Linked DNA regions of Mytilus edulis. The protein of the gene in region 3 purifies or fractionates together with the protein of the main gene of each other region. This does not show direct contact. Links are inferred from orthologs where the notes say so. Each region holds a gene or a part of one and is shown on either strand. Other genes may lie near its edges. The genes, in order: lethal(2) giant larvae protein homolog 1-like, partitioning defective 3 homolog and partitioning defective 6 homolog beta-like.

Region 1 (10,580 bases), on a different chromosome or scaffold from region 3:
GTAAAATCAAAAGTAGCATAAAATGAATTTAATAAGAATATGAGATCCCTGCATAATGTTCTAGACACCGTTTTGTTAAGGATCAAGTTATTTCTAAATGAACACTGGAACTGAGTAGTTGTATAACGCTCTACAAACAGAATATTTACATTAAATTGAAAAAAGATTCATTTTGATATGTTTTTGGGAATATACGATATTGTCCTTCACTTAATTACAGTTATAAACTAGAAAAATAGTTATTTTTAAAGCCTAGAATACTTCAAATTTTCTGTAAAAAACCCGGACCATTTGTCTAACTGAAACCCGAACGAATTCACAGTTGCTCTCGAAAAAACCCGGACAATAACAAACACTGATGTATTTATAAATACAAGGAAATTGAGCTTCTTTGTTGATCAAAACATATAAAGTATTCAATATAAGATGGGTAGTAATGTTAAAAACTGTTATAATTACGAAATATCCGTTAATTGAACTTATCGCATGTTTTATCACTTGAAAAAGCCCGAACTGCAATCGAAAAAAATAGACCAAATCACTCTAAAAAACACGATCCTAGCCGGACACTCTACCTACCGTGGATGTTGTTCCATTCCCTGAAAAGTGCTGTTCGGAGCTGGGCTAGCGTTTCCGGTGGATTTTGACTATTTCTGATACGCGTCGTCCAAGTTGTCCCAAAGATGTTCAATTGGTGATAAATCTGGAGACATTGCTGGCCAAAGCAACACACGAATATGGCTATTCTCCAAAAAGGTCATCGAAATGTGTGCCACGTGACAACGGGCGTTGTCCTGCTGAAAAAACGTGGTTAAAACGATGTCTTCAGAGAAACACGGGAGAACAACTGGAGCCAGAATTCCGTCCCTATACCTTGTTGCATTTAGGTTACCAACGATGATTTTGAGCTCGGTGCGTTCCTGGCAATTCCGCCCCATACCATGATTCCGCCACCACCAAACCGATCTGTTTCCTGCACGCACGCATCAGAAAATCGTTCATTGCGTCTCCGGTAGACCCTGGCTCTGCATTCGCTTAATTTCAAGTTGAATTTGGATTCATCGGTAAAAAGAATCTGTCTCCATGTTTGCCTATTCCATCGAATCCGTACCCGTGTCCATTGAAGTCGCGCCATCCTGTGACGCTGCGTAAGGATAGGTCCCTTCAACGGACGACGCGCTCTTAGACGCAATCGGTTACGAACTGTTTGAGCAGATATTCTGTTGTTATGTCTTCCGTGGGTTTTTCGTGCAGTTTGTGTTTACAAATCGATTCCGGAGATGAATGATGCGGATGTGGCCTGCCACTACGGGGGCGATCATTTTTGTGCCAGTATCTCTATTAAAAACGAGTCTTAAGCCTTGCAATATTCATTCTAGAGACATTCAAATGATTTGCAACCTGCACTTGAGTCATTCCTGTTGCCAACATCGCAATAGCTCGTTCTCTCTCATTTTGGCGTAGACGGGCACTGTTTTACGTGTAACTTTTTTAAATTTTCTAATGCGACCTTTTGTTAACAATCGTGTTCGACACAATAAATGACAAAAAGGACAACTCGATTCCAACTCTATACAGGTAAATTTTTGAACAAATGGTTATTTGTTTGAAATCAGAAAATGACGTCAAGTCATTTCCGATATTTTTATAAATGAGTAAATCATTCAGGTTACTAGTTTTCATCATGAAAATATTTGAAATTAATATATGTGATAATTATTTTCAAATTAAAAACCAATGTAACGTTTCATTTTTGGCCTAGTATATATGAGGGGGAGGACAGGGGGGTACCCTTCTCCCTTCTCCCACCCCTTGTCTCCTTTCTCCTACCCCCGTTCTCCTTTCTCCCATTAGAATAAAAAATCTCCTTTTGAGATATTTTTTCTTGAAATATTAGAAAAAATTTTAAAAGGAGAGATATTTTATTTTTTCTCCTTTCTCAAACTTTTTCTCCTTTCTCCCAGCCTTCCTCTCCTTTCTCCTACCCCCTTTCTCCTTTCTCCCACCCCCTTTCTCCTTTCTCCTACCCCCTTTCTCCCTGTCTCCCTTACCCCTGTCCTCCCCCTCATATATTCTGCCATGTCAGGATGATTTTAATAATATATATGGGGTCGAGATCCCTACCCCTAAACCATATATATTCCTATTTTTCATGTACATAAGATAAGATAAGAATTATATTAATCTAATCAAGAACCCATAAAGGGAATCATTTTACAACAATTTTATGATAATATGATATATATGGAAGTTTTTACGACCTTGACTGGCTATACAGCCCTTGCACTTGTCATGTCACGAGGAATTGAATGATATATATGGTGAGTCCCCAGGGGGTCCCCACCCCAATGATCTAATATATTGTAAACGGTCGAGATCCCCACCCCTAGACCATATATATTCCTGTTCGTCATGTCACGAATATTTGATTGATAAAAAGGGTCAGTCCCTAGGGGTCCCGCCACCCCCAATGTTCATATATCTTGTAAATGGTCCAGATCCCAACCCCTAAACCATATATATTCTGATTTATCATTCCAAAATAATTTGAATGATATACAGGGTAAGACCAAAGCGGTCAGGCTCAAGTAGGATATACGGTACTATAGTTCCGGCTTTTGCAATAAATTCATACGCGTATGTATTCATGAGTAATAAAGTTAAAACTGTTTAAATTTTACATTAAACTGAAATAAATGAGTGATTTACAGGTTGACAAGTCGACAGGTTGACAATTTTAAAAACGTTATGGTTGGAATAAGTGGTTGACAAGTCGACAGGTTGACAATTTAAAAAATGTTATGGTTGAAATAAGTGGTTGACAGATTGACAAGTCGACAAGTTGACAGGTTGACAGGTTGGTAAGTTGATAATTTGATATAATAACAAGTAAGTTCTGGTTGACAAGTCGACAGGTTGACAAGTTGACAAAATGACTGATTGAAAAAAAAGATATAAAAGTTATAACTCAATACTTGTAAAAAAGGTTAAAAACTGAAGTTAATTTTATTTTATTTAATGGATGATGTACTTTTATTTACTTGTTTAATTGTAAAATTAAACCCTTCAACCTGTCAACCTGTCGACCTTAACATTTGTCAACCTGTCAACTTGTCGACCTTAACATTTGTCAACCTGTCGACCTTAACACTTATCAAACTGTCAACCTGTCGACAATAACACTTGTCAACCTGTCAACCGTAACACTTGTCAACCTGTCAACCTTAACACTTGTCAACCTGTCAACTTTTAAACTTGTCGACCTATATAGTGTCAACCTGTCGACTTGTCAGTCTGTAAATTTATGTTCATATACACCGATTTACTTCTTAAGTTAAACCGATTTATTACTCTGTTCTTCCGAAGGAACTACAGTACTGAAGTTAATTTTATTTTATTTAATGGATGATGTACTTTTATTTACTTGTTTAATTGTAAAATTAAACCCTTCAACCTGTCAACCTGTCGACCTTAACATTTGTCAACCTGTCAACTTGTCGACCTTAACATTTGTCAACCTGTCGACCTTAACACTTATCAAACTGTCAACCTGTCGACAATAACACTTGTCAACCTGTCAACCGTAACACTTGTCAACCTGTCAACCTTAACACTTGTCAACCTGTCAACTTTTAAACTTGTCGACCTATATAGTGTCAACCTGTCGACTTGTCAGTCTGTAAATTTATGTTCATATACACCGATTTACTTCTTAAGTTAAACCGATTTATTACTCTGTTCTTCCGAAGGAACTACAGTACTGAAGTTAATTTTATTTTATTTAATGGATGATGTACTTTTATTTACTTGTTTAATTGTAAAATTAAACCCTTCAACCTGTCAACCTGTCGACCTTAACATTTGTCAACCTGTCAACTTGTCGACCTTAACATTTGTCAACCTGTCGACCTTAACACTTATCAAACTGTCAACCTGTCGACAATAACACTTGTCAACCTGTCAACCGTAACACTTGTCAACCTGTCAACCTTAACACTTGTCAACCTGTCAACTTTTAAACTTGTCGACCTATATAGTGTCAACCTGTCGACTTGTCAGTCTGTAAATTTATGTTCATATACACCGATTTACTTCTTAAGTTAAACCGATTTATTACTCTGTTCTTCCGAAGGAACTACAGTACTGAAGTTAATTTTATTTTATTTAATGGATGATGTACTTTTATTTACTTGTTTAATTGTAAAATTAAACCCTTCAACCTGTCAACCTGTCGACCTTAACATTTGTCAACCTGTCAACTTGTCGACCTTAACATTTGTCAACCTGTCGACCTTAACACTTATCAAACTGTCAACCTGTCGACAATAACACTTGTCAACCTGTCAACCGTAACACTTGTCAACCTGTCAACCTTAACACTTGTCAACCTGTCAACTTTTAAACTTGTCGACCTATATAGTGTCAACCTGTCGACTTGTCAGTCTGTAAATTTATGTTCATATACACCGATTTACTTCTTAAGTTAAACCGATTTATTACTCTGTTCTTCCGAAGGAACTACAGTACCGTTTATCCTACTTGACCCAGCGGTCATCCCCATCCCCTGTCATTTGAATATGTTCAAATATCTTGTAAAATGTCGGATGTATAAGTACCGAGCCACCCCAAAAGTATATTACCAAAAATTGACTAAACAGAAAAGATTTAAAAAATTTAATGTACAAGGAAAAATAAAGAGACAAGTGTCCACTATAACACGTACATGTAGTTATTAACGTCAGTACCCAGAATCTATTCTTCCAAGACCATCATGTATTATGTGTGAAGTTGACATGCAGAGACTGCTTGTTATATACAACCCTAATGAATAGCACTGCGCGATTAGAACTCACCTTTTTCTTTGTTCCAATTTGGTACCATATATACACATAGTCAGACATATCTCATTATAAATCCATGGTGATTCAATGCTTCTAAAAATAGAATAGCATCCCGTCTGAGGCTGTAATGAGTAGATGATCATGTCTGTACACTTGGAGAACAGTCATTATTTATCAGCGGAGGGGGTCTGTGCATTTTAGGGGGCGGCAGGGGGTCATTATAATTTAATAATTTCTGTCATTATTAAATGTTCGATCGTGTACAACACTAGCAAGATTTCCGTTTAATCTTTCAATGGTAGTGATTACTCCTTAACATGTAAAGTCATCTGTTATGGTTCATTATTTCCTGTCAATCTGATACTTAGAACGTGAACATTTACAATCCGACTTAACAACTGCATGAGTTTTGACCACAGGAAACAATGAGTTAGAAAAGTTCTGAACGTGTGTATTTCAACTTTCTCAAGTGTTAAAATCATTTTGATAGGATTTCTTGGGATAGATGTAGGATTGTAAAAGAGGTGTACACATTCTAAAATCATTTGTTAATAGGTATACCTATTTGATGAAATTATTACAAAGATATCGAATAAGAAAAGGAATATTTAATGTTACAATTATGACATCCACACACACAAAACAATAAACTCGGATTTCGTAAAACATTTTCACACGGAAATGAAATATTGAATGTTCATATAATTATAAACCTACATATACTTTTCTTTGTTTCAAATAAATCATGTACATATTTGATCTAGGAAGGACCAGAACCATAAAATCAGTGATATTTGTAATGTGTTACTTTCAGTTGCACTTCCTAGAGTGGAATTGAAACAAAAAATAACTATATGATGAAAATATTTAAATCAACGGAACATTGATAGAACATCAAAATTTTAATAAAGGCATTAAAAGAATTGCCAAAATATGTTTCCTCTTTTTAATATTTTTTTTTCATTCACAAATAAATCTATGACAGACAGACAGATAATATAGAGTAAATATCATTACTGAAAGGTTTTGTATAACATTTGTAGAATTTTGGGTTGCAGTCAAATAAATTGAAACACATCTTTTTATTTTTTTATTTTTACGTCATTCCATTCATTTATAACAGCACATGCTCGTGTATATCAACAAAATTTGGCTTCATACCTTTAAAAGCTTTACTTTTTAAGGATTAGCAGTTTCAAAATTAGGGACAATCTGTATAGGTATGTACTGGAAGTCTCTTCTTAAAGGGACCCCACTGGAAATAAGTTTCAATAACTGTTGTGGGTCATCCTAAGGTATCAGGTTGTCTTTCGAAATTTTCACTCATTATAATCTAGTCTATTAATATTATCAAAATGTCATGACAATTTTCATAATTTTATTTTCATATTATAATTTTTAGAAAACATGTAAATCATGTTAGTGTCTGTAACTATTTATGTCTTGTGCTATATCCATGTGTCATTTTAATTTATATAGACTATATAGTGCTTGTCATATTCATGCCTTTTATCTTCAATATATAAATAGATCTAACAGTGTTGGGTTGATGTTTAGACGATAAACGAGTCTAAATTTAAAACTACGTTCAAACCTATGATTGCGTTGGATAAAAACAGCAATTTTTATACGTGTGCATGTAAAACAAATTTCGTTGTAGAAGGGTCTAAATACAACACAAACAACATTTTCCAAACGACCAAAAAAGTGAAAAAGTATATTTAAACAAAACGCATTTGCCTAACAGGTCGAACAATTTCCGTGTTGATACAATTTGTATTGCATTTTTATACGGTATATTGGTATGACGTTGGCGTCGTCGTCGTCCTCGTCGTCGTCCGAAGACACATTGGTTTACGCACTATAACTTTAGTTTAAGTGAATGGATCTCTCTCACATTGTACCACAAGATTCCATATCACAAAGGGACAGCTGGAATTGAGATTGGGAGTAAATGCCCGAAACGTTTAGGAATTAGGGGCCAAAAATAAGCATTTTTCTAGTTTCCAGACCATAACTTGTGTTCAAGTGTATGGACCTCTCTGAAATTGTACTGCAAGGTACCATACCACAAAGGGAAGGCTGGGATTGATTTTGGGGGTAATTGCCCCAAATTTTAGGAATTAGGGGCCAAAAAAGGACAAAAAACAAGCATTTTTCTAGTTTCAGGACTATAACTTGTGTGTAAGTGTACAAATCTTTGTGAAATTGTTTTACAAGGTTCCATATCACAATTAAAGGGAAAGCTGGGTTTGAGTTTAGGGGTAATTGCCCTTAATGTTAAGAATTAGGACCAAAAAGGGGCAAAAAAAAAACCTAAGCATTTTTCTAGTTTCCAGACAATAACTTGTGTTCAAGTGTATGGATCTCTCTGAAATTGTTCTGCAAGATACCATACTACAAAGGGAAAGCTGGTATTGAGTTTGGGGGTGATGAATCATAAGAGGGTTAAAAAAAATTGGGGGGGGGGGGTTTCCCTTTTTTTTCTTAAAATTTTCCACTTTAAGTTGGTTATTTCTGATTTATATATAAAAGCAAATAATAATATGGCAGGAGATATACACCAAACAGGATGTGTAAATTATTATATTAAGTATTGTGCAATAGCAAGAAAGATTTAATTGCACAGTATTGCGCAATAGCAAGAAATATCCAATAGCACAATATTGCGTAATAGCAAGAAATCTTCAGTTTCACAGTGTTGCGCAATAGCAAGAAATATTTAGTGTATTTAGATTCATAATTTTTGGTCCCGTTTACAAATTGGTCTACATGAAGGTCCAAAGGGTCCAAAATTAAACTTAGTTTGATTTTAGCAAAAATTTAATTATTGGGGTTCTTTGATCATGTAATTAGATTTTTGACTGTGGGTCCAGTTTTCAAGTTGGTCCAAGTCGGGGTCCAAAATTAAACTTTGTTTGATTTCGACAAAAATTGAATATATGGGGTTCTTCGATATGCTGAATCTAACTATGTATTTATATTTTTGATATTTGGGCCCCATTATCAAATTAGTCCACATTGAGGTCTAAAGGGTCCAAAATTGAACTTTTTTTTATTCTTGGGGTTCTTTGATATGCTAAATCTAACCATGTATTTAGATTTGGATATTGGACCATAATTGGTAAATGTCCAATTTAAAATTTTTAAGTTCTTAGACCACATTCATTCTGTGTCAGAAACCTATGCTGTGTCAACTATTTAATCACAACACAAATTCAGAGCTGTATCAAGCTTGAATGTTGTGTCCATACTTGCCCCAACTGTTCAGGGTTCGACCTCTGCGGTCGTATCAAGCTGTGCCCTGCGGAGCATTTTATTTTTCCTGTAAGTGGTTTTAATACACTTGTCATTTTTGGGGCCCTTTATAGCTTGCTGTTCGGTGTGAGACAAGGCTCCGTGTTGAAGGCCGTACTTGACCTATAATGGTTTACTTTTACAAATTGTGACTTGGATGGAGAGTTGTCTCATGGCACTCATACCATAAATAAATCAGCTGTCAATTTAGCAGTACTAGCTGAACTTGGTATGTATCCAGTTTTTATAGAAGCTTTAAAACTGTCAATTGGCTTTTTGTTGCATGTGATCAAATCTGATAACAATTGTTTACTAAAAGATGTATATTGTTCCAACCTGCAATTAACCAATGGATTTGCTAAAAAGATTGAACAGTTACTTGCTACATTAAATTTTTCACGTGTTTGGAAAAATCATGATACTATTTCAAAAAGGCGTTTATTATATGCAATTCATACCAAACTTAATGATAGATATCTTAATTATTGGAAAGAAAATATATTTTGTGATAATAAATCAGTACATGGTAATAAGCTGAGAACATATAGACAGCTTAAAGAAAATTATAAATTGGAAACCTATTTATTGTTAAATATAGACAGAAAAGTAATAGGGAATTTTGCTAAAATTCGTATTAATAATAGTGTTCTTAGAATTGAACAAGGGCGTCACACTAAATCCCCTGTAGAAGAAAGAATTTGTCCTTTGTGCCTCTTAGAAGTAGAAGATGAATTTCATTTTACTTTAAAATGTACAAAACTAAATATAATTAGAGACCAACTGTTTTCCAAAATTAGTGAAATAGTTCCCTCTTTTTTAAATATGATTAGAATTATTGTTAAATTTATAAGCGACATTTACATTTCTAGAAATGCTTTATTAAGCACTAAATAACTTTGTGGTACCACCTCCTCATATAATGTTTATGAAATTGGTATGATATATATATGTTTGTATGTTTGTGTATAACAAATTTGTATTGTCTTGGTATCAATCCTGTAATTTTGGATTTTAAACCAATAAAAATTACTTACTTACTTACTTACTTACTTTACCACATCTTTTTGTCGAGCCTTCGACTTTAGTCGAAAAAGCGAGACTAAGCGATCCTAAACTCCGTCGTCGTCGGCGACGGCGTCCACAAATATTCACTCTGTGGTTAAAGTTTTTTAATTTTTAATAACTTTCTAAAACTATCCTGGATTTCTACCAAACTTGGACAGAAGCTTTGTTTATGATCATAAGATAGTATCCAGAAGTTACATTTTTTTCCGTATTTTACTTAAAAATGGACTTAGATTTCTGTATACATAAAGGGCATAAACTTTAAAGGTGTTTTCATATCTTTTATCAAGCTATAATCTAGATTTCGTAATTCATTAGTTGACCATATCTATTGAATTTTTCAACATGTCAAGGTAAAGAATCTCAAATGTAATCAAAATAATTAAGCATGTATTCTTCTTTTTGTGGTTTAAAGTTTCTTAAGTTAAGTATCGTGTTGCTGAAAAAATATAATATACAGATATAAACAATACCAAATTTTCACATTATTTTCTCAAAATGGTCACAATTATAAAGCTTCAAATTTGCAATTTCTTGAATGAAAAATGCATGAAAAAAATAAAACTACCCATTACACTTCGGTTTTGTACATTTCATGAGCAGAAGATTATATAATTTAGTCAAATACAAACTTATAACCCCATCAACGTATCATACTTAACATAAATTTCAAGAAAAACAACAAAAAAATGACCAAAAAAAGACTCATTTTTGCAAGAGTCAATATTAATTTCCATAGGAAATTAAAAATGCTGATTTTGAGTTTTCCTCAAGTTAGATTTTATTTGACTTTTATCTGTGTATATATAGGGCATAGTGCTATAGATTAAAAATAAAATATTTTCTTTTGCAATTAGTTTGAGGTTAAATCTTAGTTTGACTGGGCTATTAGAGCTATCAAGCCCTTTGATTTATTAACGCACTTGTTGTTTTATGGTAGTTAGCGTGACCATGTAAACGGAAGTAAATCGGGCGATAAACACCAACAGAGGAAAACACGAAAAAACTGTTATCGTTCAGGTAGTAGATAAGAAGCCATTATTTTGTTCTCATTTCACTTCTTTCAAGGATTTGTAACTATACCATTCCTTATACAATTTCTTGCTTCTTTGCAATGGTATTTTACTCGTTTAGCCCTCAACTCCTCAAGCTGGCACATAAAAATTTTATATTAATTCAGAGCTCCAGATAAGCTGCGTATTTGCGTGATCACTGAATAAAAATAATAAAAAACCCAATGCAATTGCCCATTGCAGGGTTCAATAACTCAATTATTTCAAAGGAAAACACAATTATTTGCCCAAACCATGAGTTCTCAACCCTTTAATTGGCTACTGTTTGCGTTATTTACCCTTATCTGTTTACAGTCGTCGCATA
Region 2 (10,519 bases), on a different chromosome or scaffold from region 3:
GAACCAATTTTTAACATGATAGGTCATAGGGCTGTAAACATCATAACCTGACATATTATTTTAACTCTGGGCAGACCAGTCTGTGCTTTCAATCATTATTGTTGCATGCTTAGCTGAGAAACAACATTGAACAAGTATCAATTCTAAAATCGTTGATTTGACCAGGGTGGCGCTTTACCTTGCCCACTCAAAGGGAGCACAATACCACTAAAAAGTTTTAAGACAAATAAAAATAATCTCAATAATTAATTCACAAAATATAATTGAATTTCATCATGTTGATGAGCTGACAACAAGCATGTGGTGATCAAATGTTAAGTTTTAAATTATATCTAAATTAAATGTAAAATATTTGACTGCATGTACATTTGTACTCTCTCTGATAATACTACAACAATACCTAAGAATATTTTAGGATGTTCGCTACTCTGTTTAAAAATAACAAGCTTTTTAAAAGACCGTTATAAAGCGAAGTATATAAATAAAGAAACTAAAAAAACAGAAAAAAATGGAGGGTCCGTGTGCTTGTTTTCGAGATATAAGCTGTTGAAAATTTGGCGGGAAATAATTCTCTCTAGATTTTTCGTTCACTTAACATTGGCACCTATTTTGTTTAAAAAAACTATGAAAAATAACAAGGATTTCATAAGATTTGGAATATGGCTTTTTAAATAATATGTAATAAAAATATGAAAAGAAAAGTAGTGGTTAGTGGGCAATTTTTTTTAATGTCAATTCATGGATAAATCTGGATAAAACCAGAGGATTTCGAAAATCGGGCAAAAATTCAAAAAGTAGAGGAGCAAACATCCTTAAACAAAACAAATGGAAAAAGCTTGATTTAACTTGTAATATATCATGGTTTTAGCAAAAATATGTTAACGTGAGAAGTGTTTATGTCAGTCCCTGTTTTGTTATTTTTTAGGGTTCATAACAGCCTTTACCAAAAAAAAATAGACTTAAGTCCATACTTAGCTTAATCAGATTGGACATAATTTTAACAAGAACATTTATGACATGCTTATTATTCAACAAAATCAAGTCAATGTTTACATACATGTGGGTTTTAGAGTTAATTATAAATCTCACAGATACATGTTTCAATGTTTTACCAAATTTAGTAAGATTCAATTAACCACCATGTAAGGACATATGATATGCAAGTCAAATCCACAGGGAATTAAACAGATAACTAAAATGGATTAATTAATAACATTAAAGGATCATGATGGCCATCCTATTGTCAATGTTTAATGTGGTGTATTCAAATGAATTTAGACAATCAATATCTGAAAAGGACAAAGCGTAAACCAATTTCACTTCCTTTATCAGTTGTCTCCTTCAGTGCACAACAAATCTAAGACACACCCCTTCTTAACAACCTCAGGTAAACAGATACTGACCTACTTATAATTCAATAAGATGGGGTAATATTTGAACAAATAAATGTCAGATAAAGGTGTAAATTCTGTTGATAATCTTACATAACTGAAATATCTTAACAGTACTGGAGTCAACCATCTGAGACAACCTTAAACCTAGACATTATGATGACAATATCACAATCTGATAAATCCATTTATTAATATATGATCCATTGTAGAATAAACTATTTTATCAACTTTACCATGATAAGAATTCAAGTTCATTAAAGGTTTATATATATTCTTAGTGATTCACCTTTATACAGAGATGATTTACACTATATCAGTTTAAAGAAAAATTGCCTGCATATTTTTTTGTATTTACATGTAATAAATGTGTACTTTTTACCAAAAAATGTATTTTTTCTTGAAGAATTGTGTAGGCAAATACAATTTTACACAAAAATAAACCACAGAATATATTGTAGCATTTTGACTCACTCACTTGTTTAATACGCTGACCAAATCAGGACTTTGTAAACAGAGATTTTAAATCTCCGCTACAAAACTATATCTTTACCTTAGATATTCCATCACATTTAACTAGAAATCAATAGTATTCTAAATCATGTTCATGTCATGTAAATTGTCCTAGGTCAACAAGGCTTTGGCCAAAAGTGAAGCTATCAGGTCAATGGACAAAAAGTAGCAGTATTCAACCACCTTTCTTAAAACACTGAAGTAGTCATATGATCGTCAAAAAACTTTTACTGAATAGATAGATATTTATTTTGCGAATATTCAAACCAACCTTTAGAATTCAGAATGTATACCTTACAATGCATCATACATGTACAATGTACATGAAAATTTATATTTTGAACCGAAACGTATATCAGTACTTGCATTGTGTATCTAACTATCTTTATAATTCATACATGAACATTGTACATGTAATATATTGATGATACCTCATCTAGACTAACATACACAATGTACTTTCTGTTCATTGTTGATCACCTATACCTTATTTTATGGTTATTTTTGGTCATAGATCCCTAACATTTTAGTGTACATGTACATATATAAACACATCCCTGTATTTCAAATGTTTAGATTTGATCGTTCTTGATGTCTATTTCATTACATAAGTTGGATTTAATATATATATATGCACATACAAAATTCACTACCTGAACAAAACTTTAACTACATCTTGAAAGAAGTAATTGTATATATACATTTGTATTGACCAGGAATTTAAATACTCTTTCCGATGTTTTTTCACTTTTTGTATATTTACATGTTATTTATTCAAACTAGAAAACAATCCTATAGGATAACATTTTTTTGTACACTTGTACTTACCTTAACTGTTGCTTTTTTAAATCTTGTGATGGCCTTTTCTATTAAACTATGCACTGGAATCTCACCATCTCCACAGGGAACAATAACTCTGACTCTATCAAAACAGACGGTCACTTTCATTGGCATTCTTCATGAAACCAATTGTAACAGTCTACACATGTACATAACCTATGCATTTCAGATCATTCACATCTATATATCTACATCATCAACGAAAAGTATGATCAACCTGAAATTAACAAAATTTTATTAACTGTTAAATTTTTACATTTTTGTTTCCCCTCCCCACCCTGGTCAAAAATAAGCCTTGAGGTTAAAAAAATTGTTTCAATAAAAAGTGCTTGAAAGCAAAGGGATTGATAATCTAAATGAGTACATGTACACTCAAATTGAACACAAACAACTGAACAAGTCAAACCATTCATGTCACCATGCTAGGACATTACGCTAAAAAAAAAAACCCTGCCTTCCTGGTCTGTTTTTAATGGGTAGACCAGAGGAGGGGAAACATGCATTCTTTTAAATGTCGCCTAATGCACATTTCAAGATTTGCAATGTAATAACCATTGCTTAGCAAAGGAAGATGTATATTGTGCATGTACTTTGTATATCCTAGACTATGTGGCTCTTTAACATGTTTAAATTCTGTGACTGTGATGCCATTTTTGACAAGAAATTGGATACAGAATCTGAATATGAAATGTGCATGTACTTTGTAGATATAGATTTATATGCAGACCTTGTGACAGGTCCATGATTTCAAAAAAGGAGCCTTGATTCAGCTAAGCATACTCATGGTTACATCTTTCTCTGTAAATGGCTTTATTTCCTGAATAAATTTGAAAATTTTAGTATACATTGAACATGTCTATGCAGTATGTGTACTTATCATTTTTTCACATTTGTTTCTTCATAAGTGAGGTAGACAAAAACATGTCTGTTTCCTGCCTCCTGACCAATTCTATGTGTTATATATCCCCCTTCAAACATTTTATTGTAATGCAAAAAAAAAATATCAAAGCAGTTTAGTTTAATGTTATTAGAGATGACCAATCCTCCATGAATTTTCTCTTACTACATGTAGTTTATTATCTAATTTAGTAAAAAAAATATTTAATTAGATGAAAAACAATTGAATAATATACAAATATCACAACTTTAAAAATTTTGAACTTTCAATTGTCATGATTGTGCATACTCGAATTAACACATGAATTGCAGTGGCAGATCCAGAAGGGGGGTCCATGGTTGGGAACCTCTACCTTTGTTTTGACGATCAATGCATTTGAATTGGGACACCACACACACACACACCCTCTTTATCCTGGGTTTGGAACCCCTCCTTTTGAAAATGTCTAGAACCACCCCTGAATTGTACAAATAAATCTGATCTTGTAAGATTTTCTCAGAAGAAAAATAATAAATTCAAAATCCAATCAAACTACAAGTATTGTCAGTACGACAGGCGACAGAAATAATAAAAAAAATCATTGATTGGTACAGAAAATATCATTTAAAAATTAAAAATAAGCAAAACATCACATTTTCATTGTTAATTATTGTTACTATTAGTGATTTCACTGCATCTTCTATGTTCATCAGACAGAAGTGACCTAGTTCATATATATGTCACATGTACATGGACATGTAATGTATACAATACCCTTAGGATCTTACAGCCCACCCGTAGTTGTACATATACATGAAAGGAAAGATATCTATACCAAATGGTGGTGTAAATAATGTATTTATGGTACAACAGCAACCTACTATAAATGTACAATGAATAATGAGTTCGATATTGCTTTACTTTTATGAGACTACTTTTAGATCCTTTACTCTTTCGATTTTACTTTGCTATCACTATCAGTATCTGTATCTAGTCTCTAGACTATGTCAGTATGTGGCTTAACCTGTTAACATGTTTAAATTCTGTGACTGTGACAAGAAATTGGATACAGAATCTGAATACGAAAACGTACCTTATTTTCTGCAGTGATAATCCAGTGTCAGAAGAAATGAATTGATACTCCAGGAAATTAAAAGACGCGGGGGTCGGGTGACATACCCGAAGTAAAATTATATTTGTAAACACCTGGTAAAACACGGTCGTCTGCGCAGTTTTTAGACACAATATCACACTTTTTAATAAGTTTTCGGTAATCCCATACAAAATTGAATTACTTGGTATAGCTTTACAACAATCTTAATCATTTATCTGGCAGAAAACAATCAAGGTAAACTGTTTCAATTAACTTTGATGACACATATCATGTTGAGATATATTTACTTGCCTCGTTTCCGCTTTGGAGTTTCCTAAGGGATGTAACTGTTCATTTATTTTTGTTAGATTGCGAGGCGATCACCTTTGCCGGCTGTCTGCTTGTTGTTGAAATACTAAAATATTCCTAGAATCATTGTTCAAATGACCTCTCTCACCTTTGTTTTTGTTTTATTCAGTTATGTTTCAGAAGAACAAGGACATTGGATAGGCTTTTGATTGATATCATATACTGTGCATTTTCGTGCACCTGTCACTTTTTTTATGGCAAGCAAAAGTGGACAAAAAGAGCTATTCTCTAATATTAAGAATTCATTTTTGATATTAAGAGTTCATTTTTTATTATTAAGAATTCATTTTATGGATATTAAGAAATATTTTTTTCATATTAAGCCTTGAAATCATTTTCTAATATTGAAAACTTAATTTCTAATATAAAAAAAAGAAAAACACTATTTCTTAAAAGGGCACTAGCTCAGTACGAGATAAATACAAAATCTGATTTTTTTGTTTGTTATTCAATCAAGAAATAGTGAAATAATATATCGCTTTTAGTAGCCAGTATGGTTCAATTTTGTCAGTCAAAATAAGCTAAGAAACATTGATGATGAATTATTCACTTCACTCAAAAGAGATGATTTCAGCTTTCCAATTGTGAACTTTCCATTTCTAAGTAGCAACATTCCAGCAGCACCTGCATACGGGGTATATATCTCCCAATTGATACGATATTCCCGTTCGGCTTGCATTTCCTATCATGATTTTCTTGATAGAGGGTTGCTGCTCACAAGGAAGCTATTAAACCAAGAGTTCCAAATGGTGAAGTTGAAATCATGGTGAAGTTGAAATCATCTGTCCGTAAATTTTACGGACGCCATCACGAGTTGGTTGACCGTTATGGAACAACCGTTTAACAAATGATATCGGATTTGTTCCTTACGTCGTAACTACAATCCCCTTCCCTTTCATGAATGTGACCTACCGAATTATACTATTTACCGTATTTGTTATCACATAAGCAACACGACGGGTGCCACATGTGGAGCAGGATCTGCTTACCCTTCCGGAGCACCTGAGATCACCCCTAGTTTTGGTGGGGTTCATGTGTTTATTCTTTAGTTTTCTATGTTGTGTCATGTGTACTATTGTTTGTCTTTTTCATTTTTAGCCATGTCGTTGTCAGTTTATTTTAGATTTCTGAATTTGACTGTCCCTTTGGTATCTTTCGTCCCTCTTTTGCAACAAAAATCAAACTGATTCGATAATAAATAAATAATTAAAAACGATAATTAACATTTATTTTTAATCGGAAGTTAATCAGATTGCGTCTAGACTAAAATACACACGAAACGAACTTACACATTATCGAGCATATGCCCAGTATACTGGTTATTTTATAATTTGGATAAATGTTTTACATTTTCATAAATCAAATATGAGAATTTGAGTCAAATCGGTGATTATGAATTTGACAGCTAGTTAAATATTAAGAAATCCGCAATTTTTAATATAAGGAATTCATTTTTATAATTAAAAATTCATTTTCAAAATCAGTTTGACAACCTTGCCCTATTCGAAAAGAACTTAAAAGATCATAAAAGGTATTCAGATATTTTTAAAAAGTCCGTTTGTTTTAATTTTCCTGAGATCTTTTTCAAGTACTTTCAATATCATCCGAAGAACACCTTCGGACATAGTAACATAAAGGAAATGGGCTACCATCCATGCCACACCATCAGTACTTGCACAGCAAACAACTCGAAAAAGCAAAAGAGAAGCGTTTTTAATGCTGTTCGTCATCTCAAAGTAACATTGAGGCCTTCAACACAAAGCAAACAAAACGTTTCACATGCAGTTCTTTTTGCCTTCTAAACTGACAAAAGTGTGCTTATCCTTTCCTAAGCCAAGAGTTTATAGTTTAAGGGTTGTCTTTGGTTCATGTCTGTCATATTTTTTTTTTATCGTAAATTGTTTTGTTTTTAAATTTGACCAATATTTTTTTTTCTTCAATGCAATTGTTTAATTTGTTTTCATGTCATGACCTTTCATAACCGATTTTAAAAAGGTAAGGTTTTTTTTCATTGTTATGGGAGGAATTGTACTTAATTTTCATTTGAGGAAGACATAATCTTTCAATCAGTATACATGTCATTATGTGACTGGAGCTGTCATGCAGTGACTGCATGTATCATGGAGATTTTGTTTAGTACCTATTCTGACATCGGACTAGAACTTTTGTAAACTGGCCCCTGTTTGTCGTGTATGATTTTTAATTTTAGTTCATTTATATGTTTTTGAATATAAAAAAGAAGATGTGATATGTTGCCAACGAGACAACTCTCCACAAGAGACTAAATATCACAGAAACCTAACAGCTATACAGGTCACCGTACATGGAGTTTAGTATGACGTCCATTTTCACTGAACTAGTATACATTTTTAGGGGCTAGCTGTAATCCGCCTCCCGGTTCGTGATTTTCTCGCTGTGTTGAAGACCCGTCGGTGGCCTTCGGCTGTTTTCTGCTCTTTTGTCGGGTTGTTGTCTGACACACTCCCCATTTCCATTCTCAATTTAATAATGTTTTTGACCCGTAAGAATTTTTATCAGTTGCCTTTGCAATCTTTTACTAATAATACTAGGAAGATCCTTCACAAACATACAGTTTTAGTGGACAAACCCAAGTAAGAAATGTCGACAAGAAAGGAACATAAATAGAACCATACAAAAACTACACGCATTCAGATGCATAGATACATACAATCTTGCTTATTTAAGTCGCTTCGTGCAGAAGTGCATCTAATGCGTTCCTTTCCAAATTGAAATAGTTTTTGCTGCTATCCCAAATCAAAGTTATGAAACCCATTTTATCAGAATCATTTGGTTAACAATCCCATTTGATAGTGTCTCCTCCAAGACAGTCTTAAACATCAAAAGTAAACATTGCTAGTTTTCAGTGTTTTGTACAAGTTGGCTGTTAAAATTTTGCAACACAGTTTAACATAGAACCCTATGAAAACAATGTAAAACATCCAAACACATTTTCAACACTGATCTGTGTCCACACTTGTACGATTTAAAAATATATAGATGTTATTTCTTGATCTTGAAGATTAGCTATAAGTTCCATAAAAGATCATGAAGGTTAACAAATTTATCATGACCAAAACATTTTAATTCCAAACTGTCGATATAAATATGTAAATGTTCAACAACAAACAAATAAGTCAGTTAAATACTGATAAATGAAACAAACATTTTTCAAATTTTGCTTATTTTCTCTTTATCATGAAAAAAAAGCACATGTTTCTACTTGTTGACTGCAAAAACAGAATGTCCTTTAATACATAAAATATGAAAAAAAGGAGGTAAACACAACTCTCTTCTTCAATAGAGGTCTCAATTGCTTCACACACCCACAATTCTATTTGAGGATATACACACATTACATGACTTACTCCTGAGAAAACTCTAGGTTTTTTCTGTTGGGGTTTAAGTTGCTCACTCAATCGTTTTCCCATGTTGTGCTTTGCAGACTGTCGTTTGACAAATCGTCTTTTGATAGTTTTTCTCTCTTACAATGGCGTTGCCGGTTTTGGTTTCAATATGCATTGGGAATCTTTGTTGCTGTATTGCAACTACATGATTATCGATCTTATTCCAAGTTTAATGTAGTTCTTAAAAGGTTGGCTATATTAAAGTTCAAGTCATGAAGTATGCTTTTAAAACACTAGGCTTTGAAGTTTCGATTATATAGTCTTGTCCCTTTTTATTGGCTCACCTGGCCCCAAGGGCCAAGTGAGCTTTCCTTATCACTTTGCGTCCGTCGTCGTCGTCCGGCGTCGTCTGTTAACTTGTACAAAAAATCTTCTCCTCTGAAACTACTGGGTCAAATTTAACCAAACTTGGACACAATCATCATTAGGGTATCTTGTTTAAAAAATGTGTCTGTTGACCCGGCCAGCCAACCAAGATGGCCGCCATGGCTAAAAATAGAACATAGGGGTGAAATGTAGATTGTGGCTTATAACTCTGAAACCAAAGCATTTAGAGCAAATCTGACAGGGGTAAAATTGTTTAACAAGTCAAAATATATCTGCCCTGACATTTACAGATGAATCGGACAACCGATTGTTGGATTACCACCCCAGAATGGATAATTTTAAGGAAATTTTGCCGTTTTTGGTTATTATCTTGAATATTATTATAGAGAGAGAGATAAACTGTAAACAGCAATAATGTTCAGCAAAGTAAGATCTACAAATAAGTCAACATGACCTAAATGGTCAGTTGACCCCTTAAGGCGATATTGCCCTTTACAGTCAATTTTTAACAATTTTCATAAATTTTGTAAATTTTTGTTAATTTTAACAAAATATTTCTGTAACTAATAGGCCAAGTTCATTATAGATAGATAATTGTAAGTAGCAAGAATGTTAAGTAAAGTAAGATCTACAAACACATCACCATCACCAAAACACAATTTTGTCATTAATCCATCTGTGTCTTTTGTTTAATATGCACGTAGACCAAGGTGAGCGACACAGGCTCGTTAAAGCCTCTTGTTCACCACCTTGCAAACCTCAGTTTTCAACACTCGGATTGATGTAAAAAGTAGTAGATGTGGTATGACTGTCATTGAGACAACAGTACACCAGGGTCCAATTACGTACCTATTGCCCATCTGGTCGTTATTTTGAAAACAATGTAGTAGCATATTAAGTTCACCTGCCTCTTTGATGTTTATGTTGCTTACTTCTGGGATAGGGGGTGACCAAATCTTACTGGATATCGAATCTGTGCAATGAAACCAAGGTATATTTGTTCCTAACATAGAAAAGAATACTTGTGGTTGTCTCTGCAAACACTGGACTTGTTAAGGCTTATACAGTTGGTTCTTGCTGAGATTGAGATTGATATCTGGAAAGTTTAGATCACCCTAGCCATGTTATTGCCTTTTCATGATTTGTACCTTTATAGTTAATTCAGTATTCCTGATATTGTCTAATATACATTTTCAATCAGTCCACCTTGTAAAAGTGAACAGACAAGTCAAACATTGAAATAACATCGAAATTGAATTTTCAGATTTAATTTTTTTTTTTCATAACACTGCAATTGATTCTTAGCAATGAAGTAAACTTTTCCTTAATAAGATGATTTCAAACTGCAACATTGACAAAAAAGGTATTACCAAAAGTCAAAGCCTTTGAATTATCACAATAGTGATACTTTTAAAATTAGTAATAGAACATGCTTTATCATGTGTTTTGTTTTTGTTTAATTTTGATTAATATAAAGTATATTCAATGTGACAATGTTTGTCCCAATCGTTTCCAAAGCTATGTACAGTTGTATCCCTACAAAGAAAGTTTGAATGATTATAAGGAATCATTCTCCATTATTCTGTCAAACATCATAATAAGTATTGTTCTGACCTGTCAGACAGATTTCATTGAAACTTGTATTAGCAAAAACATTTTGAATAGAGCGCAAACTAATTGTGTG
Region 3 (10,850 bases):
ACCATCTTTGTCCGAATATGTTATTACAAATGGGTCATTCTTCAAACGGTGCAGCTTTTCTACTTTTGTATATAAATCTTCAAATTTGCGCTGTTTTGACTTGTCAACTGAAAATCTTCTGAATTCTGCATCAAGCTGAAAATAAAAGTAGTAAATGTATACATTTCAGCATTAAAGATTAGTCTGACAGAAAATGGTTCAAACAACAATGGTGATCAGGGGTGGATTTAAGGGATCAGGGTGCCCCACCCCCTTATAAAACCCTTGTTCAAAATTGTGGATTTGCATCTGGTAATGTTTTGTTAGACAAGACTGCAAGAGGTGTACATAAAATTAAAGCCCAAATCATGTCATTTAAATTTGGACTTTTGTCACTAAACATATTAAATATATATATGTGTCTGATGTCAGGACTCAGAAGTAAGAAAATGTTATTGTTTTCACTTTTCATTGTTATTTGTTTTAAAAAAATTGGCCATGTTTGAATGTCTCTGCTAAATTTCTCCACAAATTTCTGAACTTATGCATGTAAATATAGAGGTTATCATATATTATATAGACACTAAACCACATGTTAACCTCTAGATGTCATTTTTGCTCTGTGTAATTTAGTTGCTGTCTCATTGATAAACACTACATATTCCTTTTATACATGAAATAGTATAGCTCTAAGGAGCTTTTGATGAAGAAAAAAAACCCAACCCAAACACCATGTACAAAATGTAGCATGTTGAATTTAAATGTGTAGCAGCAGATAGTTTTATAAACATATTCCTGATCAGCAACTGACATACAGCTTATAAGTTATGTCATTTTGTTAACTAGGATATCTCTGATTAACTTTAAGAGGGTGTCCATGGAAAAACCAGGCAGTGGATGGCACATGACATATTTTGTTTTCAAAATGTTTTCATCTATTTCATATCACAAATTAATTTTTTCTCCAAGTTAAATTTTGTTTTTTATTTACTGGAAGAAAGAAAAAATACATAGAAAGTACTGAAAATTCATTGAAAAGGGGAGATAACTCTTCATTTTGTACCAAATTTTGTTGCATTGTTAGTGAACTTTAAAATCATTTTCTGAGCCATCCACTGTTGATTCAAAAATATCTTTGACATATATATCCTTTGTATGACATAAACATTGCATTGGAACCAAAAATTCAGTGGGAAAAAAATTATGTTGTGCCACCCACATCATAAGATTTGCCTGATATTTACTTGGACAGCCTCTTTCAAAAACAACTCAACAGTCCAACAAACTATATATTATCCAAAACATTTACATTTCCATTACAAAAAGTGTTAGATTAGACATTAATGTTAACAAGCAGCTGCAACTGAATCAAAGCCTTAAAGGTTGTAAAAGCAATTGCTGCCATGTTAATGTTTTGGGAACTTTTATTTTTCATCCACATACAGTTGTATATATAATAATTAAACCTGACAGGAGTGTTGTCTAGTGAGAAGTAAGAAGGTTTTATATCAATAAAAGACTTTAGAAGAGAGTCATTTTTAATATGTTTTATATTTCACAATTTACAACACGTTTACCAGGCTAAAGTTCCAGTCAAATATCCATGTGCTGAAACATATAACTCAAAAAGAAATCATCATGAATTATCCCCTGGTACTGTTTGTAACTGGGCAGTAATTTCCGTTATTGGTCTAATTTTAACAATTTTCATAATTAATTTAAATTTACCCATTCAGTTAAAACATTTCAACTTTCCAAATGTAAATGTTGAAAAACAGGAAAGAAATAAAACATCTTACAAGACATAAACATGGATAAATTCTTAGTTTTTAATTAGGTCTTTCCACCTTTCCGTGGAAAGACCTAGCCTATTGATTTTGTTCTGTCAGATTATTATTTTTTTTTTTTTCTTCCGCCTAAATTTTTTCTTGCGTATTGTTGATGTTTCAAAAGATGTCGCTTAGATATTTGGAATATGATATCGTATAGTTTATACGCTTTAAAAATTTTCAACCGCGTAACAAAATACTTTACGTTGTAAGAGTTATCTCCCCAAACACTGTTTTTCTTGTGGCCACTACTCCTTCGCAACCGTAAAAGATTACGACAAATTTATTTTACCAAATTGCTCGTTACATCTTCAGGATTAGTAGTTTAGTTTCGACCGAAGCTATCCGGAGACTCCATATGACAGTTATTCCCCCTCATGTATTTGATATAAGTGAAATGCATTTCTAACTGGTAAACCATAAGTAATAGAGACCTAGGGTCTTTTGATTTGAGATCCTTGGTCCAAAAAAATAAAATAAGGTCAAGGTCAAAGGTCAAGGTCATATTCTAAATTTTTATTTTGGCTTATTTTTACTTATTTTCAAAACCTTACAACATATCAACATCTTATTTTCACTAAATTGTTAGTTACGACATGCCGTTACTTATAAATTTTGGTTGACAGAGTGCGTAAACAATAAATAGGAGTTTTCGCCCATCTTATATTTAGAATTATGAGTAAAGTGATATAACTCATTAACCATATATAATAAAGACCTAGGGTCTTTTGATTTGAGATCCTTGGTTTATGACCTTGAAATTGAGATCAAGGTCATAGGTAATTTGCACATTCTAGATTTGGCCTTTGCTTTAAATTCATATTTATACATTATAAAGCCATAGGAACTGACATTTTAGATTGATTTTTAATATTTTGATAATAAAATAGATCTTAACTTGTGGAAAGACCTTCAATTGTTCTTTGAACAATTGGTTTTTAATTCTAAATATTTTTCTTTTTTAAAACAATTTTTTATAGAAAAACAAGTACCAAGCTTCCCTTTTTCAGAGTTAATTGTTTGATACTTCAGTTTATTCCAAAATGATTTAAACTTTTACATAGTTTATTTTTAACATACTGACATAAAGAACCAATTGATTGGTCAAAATTTGGTATTTCAATCTCTCTCTGAATATAATCTACATGTATACTAGAATACCATGTATTTACATTAGAACTATGTAACTGTTTACAACATATAATTGCATCAAATAATAATCCTTCTGTCAAACGTTCCAGTCTATGACAATATTTTACAATTGATAAAATTATAGTAAAATACATAGGAAATCTATGGTATATTGGTATGTGTATATGTAATATGAAATTTGTTTACAAAATATCAGTGTTGTTTGTTTACATATTCATCCCAACAAAGAAAATATTCATGTACATCATACACGTCATATGCACAGATCTAGAGGAACCCAAAAAATCTGTAAAGTTTAGGTAGTAAGTATACAGTGCAACATTATCATATTGAGTTTAAAGAAGACTTATCAATGATGCTCCAATAAGAAAAGTTTAAAGAGGGTAGGAATGTCCTGTCCCTTCAGGCATCAAACAGTAATTTTTAGCTTGTTTCATTAAAATATTTTCATTGTGATTTGTTCCAGGTGTCAACTAATTATTGTTACCTTTAATTTGGAAAGAAAACAAAAAAATAAGGTGATTTGTCAAAATCAGCTAAAATTTGTTTATAATCTTGAAGAAAGTATAAAAAAGAAGATGTGGTATGATTGCCGATGATTCACTATTCACAAGAGACCAAATGACACAATTAACAGCTATAGATCACCATACATCCTTCAACAATGAGCCAAGCCCATACCGCATAATCAGTGTAAATTTTATGTATAGTCAAATACATGCACCAAAAATTACCCATAACCATGTTAACATCATTTTGCAAGATTTTCTACCATCTTTCATCTTGAACTTACCCCCATTATGGCCCTCTTTTTTTTTTTAAAGAAGATAATTAAATCAAAACAAGATCTTGAAGCATTGTTTTAAAACTATTAAAAAGTTTCTAGACTGAAAATACCATACAGATACATATGCAGCGCCCTACAACTTGCTCAAAATAGTCATAAAAAAATGCAAAAATTAGCACTTGTTTGCTAAATTTTATTTACTCTAAAAAAAAAAATACTAAAAATAAATATAATGCTTCTATACAGATACTTGTGCAGCGCCCTGCAACTTGCTCAAAATAGTCATAAAAAAAATGCAAAAATTAGCACTTTGCTAAATTTTATTTACTCTAAAAAAAAAAAAATACTGAAAATTAATATAATGCTTCTTTACTATTATAAACAGTATCAATGAGATCTTTCAACACTAAGTCCCATTTTTTCTATGCTATGTGCAATCCCCCCACCCCTACCATTATCTTTTATTTTGATGAAATAGTTGTTAATACATAAAATTTGTCAGGATAAGAAAATATGTAAATAATGACTCATTGTGTGACATGTGTATTCAAGCATGCAAATTTCGCAAATGACCTGTCATAAAAGGGTGTATTTTTAGAAAATTTTAGTGTTAAAATTTTCCTATTCTCCATTCCCTATAAATGTAAAATAGAACTGCAAATGTTCGGCAAGAAATAACCCGAAATCGTCATAACGCTTTTTTGGTCGAAGTAATAAAATTGTTACCTGGATGAAGCTGTTGAACAGGTGTGACCCAGGTCATAACGAAATACCCAAAACTAAAAGTTACCTTGGATTTGACTTCTAACAAACTGTATCCTTGATGCAAAAAAGTCTTCGATGAACGTGACATGATGAAAATACAGCCCAAAGGGCTTTTTAATACTTTTTATTTTCTATTTCCACACCGTTGGTGTTATGTTGTTTATGAATGAACATTTACCTCTGACGTCACAAATTGTGTAGTATAATCTCGAAACAAAACGACAGGTGCGTGTTTTAGACAGTAGCTTTTACATTAACAATATGCAGTGGGTTTTTTTCTGCAAACTGCAAAGTCTATGTATTTTTCATTGTTTGTTTGACTTATTTATAGAAATATTCAAGTATGTTTAATCACAATACAACATGTACAAGCATTTCTGAAGTACACCAAGGCGGGAACCTTTGAAATAATAAAAGATTCATATAATAAGTTATGAGTCTTTTGTAGACGAAACGCGCGTCTTGCGCATGTATTTACAAAATTTAGTCCTGGTATCTATGATGAGTTAATTAACTATGTACAACTTGAATCGGCCGTTGAAATAATTAGAGACAGACCTGTCATGCAGTATATATAAGAATGATAAAATGATATAAAAATGAGACATATTACTAGTATAAATACAATTTTATAATATCTCTGTTTTAAAATGTAGAGAAAACTGACAATCGGACACAGGCACTTGTTTTCTATCCATGGCAAGATCTAGACTACTATCGATATATAGGGATAGTAGATCTTGCCATGGATAGAAAAGGGATAGTAAATCTTGCCATGGATAGAAAAGGGATAGTAAATCTTGCCATGGATAGAAAAGGGATAGTAGATCTTGCCATGGATAGAGAGCAAGTATATAGGCATCGTAGATCTTGCCATGGATAGAAAACAAGTGCCTGTGGGTATGGGCTTTATTTATTGTTGAAAGTCGTAAGATGACATATATAGTTGACATAGTTGTTATTTTCAGTTTTTCATTTTGTCTCTTGTGAAGTTTTGTCAGGCTTATTTACAATGCTTGATCATCTGTTCATTTTTAGGTCGGTAGTAAGAGCTATTTCAAGCTCATATTTATTGTTGACTGTACCAGAGACATATATACACATGTGTATATATGTCTCTGACTGTACATATGTGCCGATTCTAAATGAAATTTATTCATTGACTTTCCATATTAAAATAATAAAACAAAGTCATCGATGAAGCTATGATAATACAAGATCACAAAAATATTTTGATACAGTTGATCTGACATTCTATATTTATGGCAGACGATTACAGAACTAGAGAAGATGGCTGGATAACAAACATGCTTACAAAATTAGAGCTACAGGAATTACAACTGAAACGCACAAGCCAAACACTTATATTTTTGTACAAGGTGGTTGAGGTGCTGGTTCCTGCTATTGATCCAGACGACTTCCTCAAATTAGGAAGACCAAGAAGAACCATCACATGCAGCTAAAAAGTTTAACAATTATCAAGCAAATAACTTAGTTGAAAAACAAGTGAGAAACAATACTAGGTGTTTTGACATTCCTACCAGTAAAACACCGCAACATTCAAATTCATCCTTCAGTGTGTCCACAACAATAAATTGGAACCACCTAGAAGACACTATTGTGCGCGCAACAAGTGTAGAGAGCTTTAAAGCTGCCTTCGCGAAACGTCAGTAAATCGACGGCGCCCAAACTAATTAAAATATTGATCTCTGATTTCGGTATCATGACTACATCATGTACATATACCCAATCTAATTAAAATATTGATCTCTGATTTCGTTATACTGCATATATAACGAAATCAGAGATCAATATGATCTTAATAAAATTGGACGGCGCCTTCCCTCCCGTTGTATTTTAAAAGCCAGATTTGGTAACTATACGACATATCCACGACAGATACAGATACAGATATGACTAGAAAAGTTAGAAAGTAATGTTTATGTCGTTTTAATATAATCGTTAAAAAAATATCCCCACATTTGGACAAAATTGGGTAGATACTTTGTTCTGTTCAAACCGAAAATTTGCAAAAGTTGGGATTTTTCACGTGGCAATGTTCAGTCAAAGTAGGCCGCTGCAATTACCATCCAAGACAATTCCAGCTCATGCATGCACTGTAATTGTGTAAAATAATAAGGAAACATTGGTCATGACTCAATAATATCTTACAAAAAGTGAACACAACACTTTTAAAAAGTTCCTTTGTAGGCCGAGGCATAGTCGAAATCGATCAAAAATTAAACTCTAGTAAAATATTATACACTATATAGCGGTTTTAGTTCTATGACATTTTGATACCGCATGCCCAGTATGTAAAAAGTAAGTTATATTTAGTAATTTTAAATAATGAATTATTATAGATATGAAAACAGAACTTCCTTAGATTTTAAATAATGTATTAAATAGTTTCTTTTTAAAAATGTAAATGTTTAAATTATGCTATTGGAGGAATACTAACATGGTCTAGACTTTGATTGTAAATTACTTTTAATATATATATTAAGTTAGTATAAAACCTGTCAAAGTCATCAAGATTCATTGTTTGGCTTTTGTACTGGAAGGTAATTAGTAAAAAAAAAAAAAAAGGATTTTTATTTAAAGAACAACTTGAATACACCAAATTATCTTACAGCCGTTTTACATGTGTTCCGCGTGCTCTGCCGTGTTGATTGTTTATCAATGTCACGTTTTGGTATCAAACTCGAAAGTTATTAAGCTTGCTATCAACAATTACTGTTTAACATAATCATTTGTTGAGATATAGATTCGTCAGTAATAAATGTAAAAAAAAACGTATACTCATGCATTGGTTCAATAATTTCAATAGCATAGTAATTTTAACTGAAAGAAAATCGTTTAATATGCGTAAATCTTTATTCTCGTAAACCAAAGTACAATGGTATAGAGACATATACAAATAAATTAACATACATAGTATGAATTTAAAATACAAATGTAAAGTAGAGACATACAGTGGTTACCCAGGAGATCAGTCTAGGCATTCAGTAATAATTATCCTTATAAACTCGCACTTTTAATGACTTTTACGTGATGTTCATATTTCAATAAATTTGATAAATGACCTTTATTTAAGTTGTAAAAGTAATGGACGAATCGTTACAGGAAAATCAGACAAGACGATTCCGTGCTAAGAAGACAGAAGATCATGGCACAATACAAAATGATACCAGAGATTCTAGAGATAGAAATGGAAATTCCTCATTTGTAAAAGTTTTGGCAGAGAACTTCTTATACAACTGACAACAAATAAATGCATGCACTAAATTACAAAGACTTCACAGTAAAACAGAAGATGCACAAACTATTAGATTCTAAATATTCAGTGAAAGTTCCTAATAGTTGGAATAATGGAGAAATATAACAATGAATCCATTGTACAATTTTTTTTCGAGAATGACCTACAACGGATATACGGTCGAATGCTCTAGATCAAAAGGTTAGAAAGCCCAAATTAGGCTATACACAATAAATAATAAAAAAACAAAAACGCTTGGGAGCATCAAAACCCAAATTCAAAAACATGTCTATTGACCTCTAGATGTCTTTGCTTTTTTTCCGTTTCGTTTGGTTGCCATCTCATTGACGTACGCGTAAACCATATCGCGAGAAATTTCACAACAGCAAAAAACAATTTTGATAATGCCATGATTATTTGAAAAATAAAAGTTCAATACTATTTTTCTATATGTGAGAGGAGAAGATAGCGACAGAAACTTAACAGCAATGGGATAAACTGTTATAGTAACGCAGAATACGTCACGGTTATAAAAATAACAATACTGAAAAAACACAGAACAGATAGGGGCACATGTACAGATTACAGAAGACAAAGACTTTAAGTACGTCAATCAAGACAAGATAGCTGATCTTCTAATGGTTTGCAAATTACCGTTTGATAGTGTTCATTCATTTATTTCAGTTAGTTAAAAAGACAGAATGTACTCCAGTCTAAGTTCAATATCTGCCGTTTCTTTACAATTCTTGAGACTTAAAATAGTCTCCATTTACAATGTTGATTATATAAAATATTCATCTCCATATCCCCACTGAGGTGTGTAAACAAATTAAGCATTTATAAGCTAGCAAAATTATACACAGCTATGCAATTATTTTAGGCAACTCTCAGTAATCTAAATGAATAATTTTATATAGATATAAGCCTGAAGATGTGGTATGAGTGCCAATGAGACAACTCTCCACCAGAGACATATGTACACTATGTGTATAACATGACAGTACCCAAATTGCACCTATTTTGACAGTTTTTTCATCTACGTTTTTTTATTATAAAGAAAAAAATGTCCATTTTGTGTTTATTTTGTAGCTGTATCCTTCTTTATTATGGAGGTACACCAATTTGATTTTTAATCCATATGGAATCTTAGAAAAATTGGTCTAAACTGACCTCCAAATCATCAATGATTCTGAAATAAGTAGTACCCAAATTGCATCCATGCTTAAATTTGCATTGTCAAAAGTCTAATAACAGAGCTTTTGATTAAATTCTTCAAATATTTTGAACAATTGGATATTAGTCCATGCTTACTCTAAACAAAAAAATTTAAATGGATACTTGTAACATATTGTATTTGGTCATTTTAAAAAGATGACGTTTTGATGACGTTGCATGGCAACGTTTCAGTACATTTTGCTTTTTCAGTAAACACTTCATTTATTGATAAATACTGTGAACGTTTTGTAAAAATCTAAATATTTTCACCTATATTGAAAGATGTGCATAGTGTCAAATCATAAAAATACAAAGTGTTTAGTCTCTAGGAAATCTTGTAAGATGTCCGCTGCTACTTTTGCTAAATAATTGCAATTTGGGTACTCTGTGCAATTTGGGTACCGTTACGTAATATGTCTCTGTCTCCACCAAGTCAAATTTGTGAAAAGTAAACCATGTTCGTATCTTCAGAGATCTTCAACAGGTAGTCAAAAAGCTGTAAACAAAGACTTTATTTTTAAAGAGATCATTCACAGTTAGCAAAACATGAGACTACCATTACACAGCCGTCTCTAATTCCTAGTCATCGTCGGGAGCGTCTTCTTTGTGTATTTTGAGCGTATTTTTAACCAAGAGACTTGAGTTGTAAAAAAAGAGAGAGACGGAGTTATTTCTAAAGCCGGATATTTCATGCTATTTCCGACATTGTCCGAATCTTATAATCTCCTTTCTCCAAAACACTCCACGAAATCCAAAATGCCAAGAAAAAAACCAGCGCATCTCAAACCTTGGCTGATCGACGCTATACTTATGAATACGGAACCAACTAAGACAAATTCAGTCAAAGTTCTTAAGGTAATTTTGTTGAAGAGCATAGTCTAGAACAAAATGAAAGTATTTCTGATGAGTGATCATGACAAAATAATTTGCTTCACCATGCCAGTACCTTTTCAACTATAATTTCTGAACTTTATTCACATTATTTGTCTGTTTTAAACAATAACAAACCAGATTTCTTTTAATTCTTAAGTTGGCAGTTTTCCTGTAAAAGGTTGTGGTTCTCAATGGGTACTCTGGCTTCCTCTACCAAAAGAAAGACTATATAAATTTCCTTCTGTTCAAACTTCAAAAAATGAAACATCTTTAAGATAGAATTTATAGTTATCTCATGATCATACCATTGCAAACTCGTACCAATGTCTGTTTGTACTACTAAAAGCAAACTGGTACCAATGCAAACTGGTACCACTGCTAACTTCTTATTTTCCCTTAGTAAATACACCTAATCGCTATTTATTCCATTCAGGATAAGTTCTAAAATTACACAACTTTTTCATCCAGTTGAAGCTAGCTGGGAACCTGCTTAAACAACTCACCATGCATGATACTTTTTAATGAGACCTGTTTAAACTACCGTAAATTATACTAAATACTTCAAACAAAATATTTTTTTACTTTAATTTTAATTTCGAAAAGTGGATCATACTCTATCAAAGTTTCTTGATGATCGCTTTCTAAAGTTTTTCCTCCCTCAGCTCACTACTGATGACCTCTATATATATTCGGCGGCCTGACCCAAACAGGAAGTTGTATAAACTACTGTTTTTCCCGGATTGCAATTTTATGCTGTGGACTAAATAGCGATGAGGTGTATTGGATAAAGGAAACCGTGGCAGATTATCTTTGTTGTCTCCCTTGGACAGTTCCTTTATTAAACTTTTACTGACAACTATTTGATTTAATTTTAAACCATTACAAATTAGTAACTAAACATTGAATAGATTTTGGTATTTATAATTGTTAATAAAAGGATTTTTTTTTAGTGAGAAAATTTATTTATATTGTAAAAAAGGTTTAAAATTGT

What was found.
Region 1: the proteins of partitioning defective 6 homolog beta-like (region 3) and lethal(2) giant larvae protein homolog 1-like purify together in Drosophila melanogaster (affinity purification with western blotting; 5 studies listed by BioGRID, with this or other methods). This does not show direct contact. The link is inferred for Mytilus edulis from reciprocal best matches to the Drosophila melanogaster genes par-6 and l(2)gl.
Region 2: the proteins of partitioning defective 6 homolog beta-like (region 3) and partitioning defective 3 homolog purify together in Drosophila melanogaster (affinity purification with western blotting; 7 studies listed by BioGRID). This does not show direct contact. The link is inferred for Mytilus edulis from reciprocal best matches to the Drosophila melanogaster genes par-6 and baz.

The regions. Positions count from the first base shown.
Region 1 is NC_092352.1:31,188,777-31,199,356, reverse strand, and holds the start of lethal(2) giant larvae protein homolog 1-like, read right to left. Parts: upstream 5,201-10,580; 5' UTR 4,902-5,200; coding exon 4,854-4,901; intron 1-4,853. UniProt on the Drosophila melanogaster protein: Essential for the development of polarized epithelia, for cell polarity associated with asymmetric cell division of neuroblasts during development, and for oocyte polarity formation.
Region 2 is NC_092345.1:88,188,753-88,199,271, forward strand, and holds the start of partitioning defective 3 homolog, read right to left. Parts: upstream 5,048-10,519; 5' UTR 4,715-5,047; intron 3,557-4,714; exon of another isoform or gene 3,472-3,556; intron 2,962-3,471; 5' UTR 2,859-2,961; coding exon 2,733-2,858; intron 1-2,732.
Region 3 is NC_092348.1:80,171,665-80,182,514, reverse strand, and holds the start of partitioning defective 6 homolog beta-like, read right to left. Parts: upstream 4,723-10,850; 5' UTR 4,601-4,722; coding exon 4,538-4,600; intron 136-4,537; coding exon 1-135.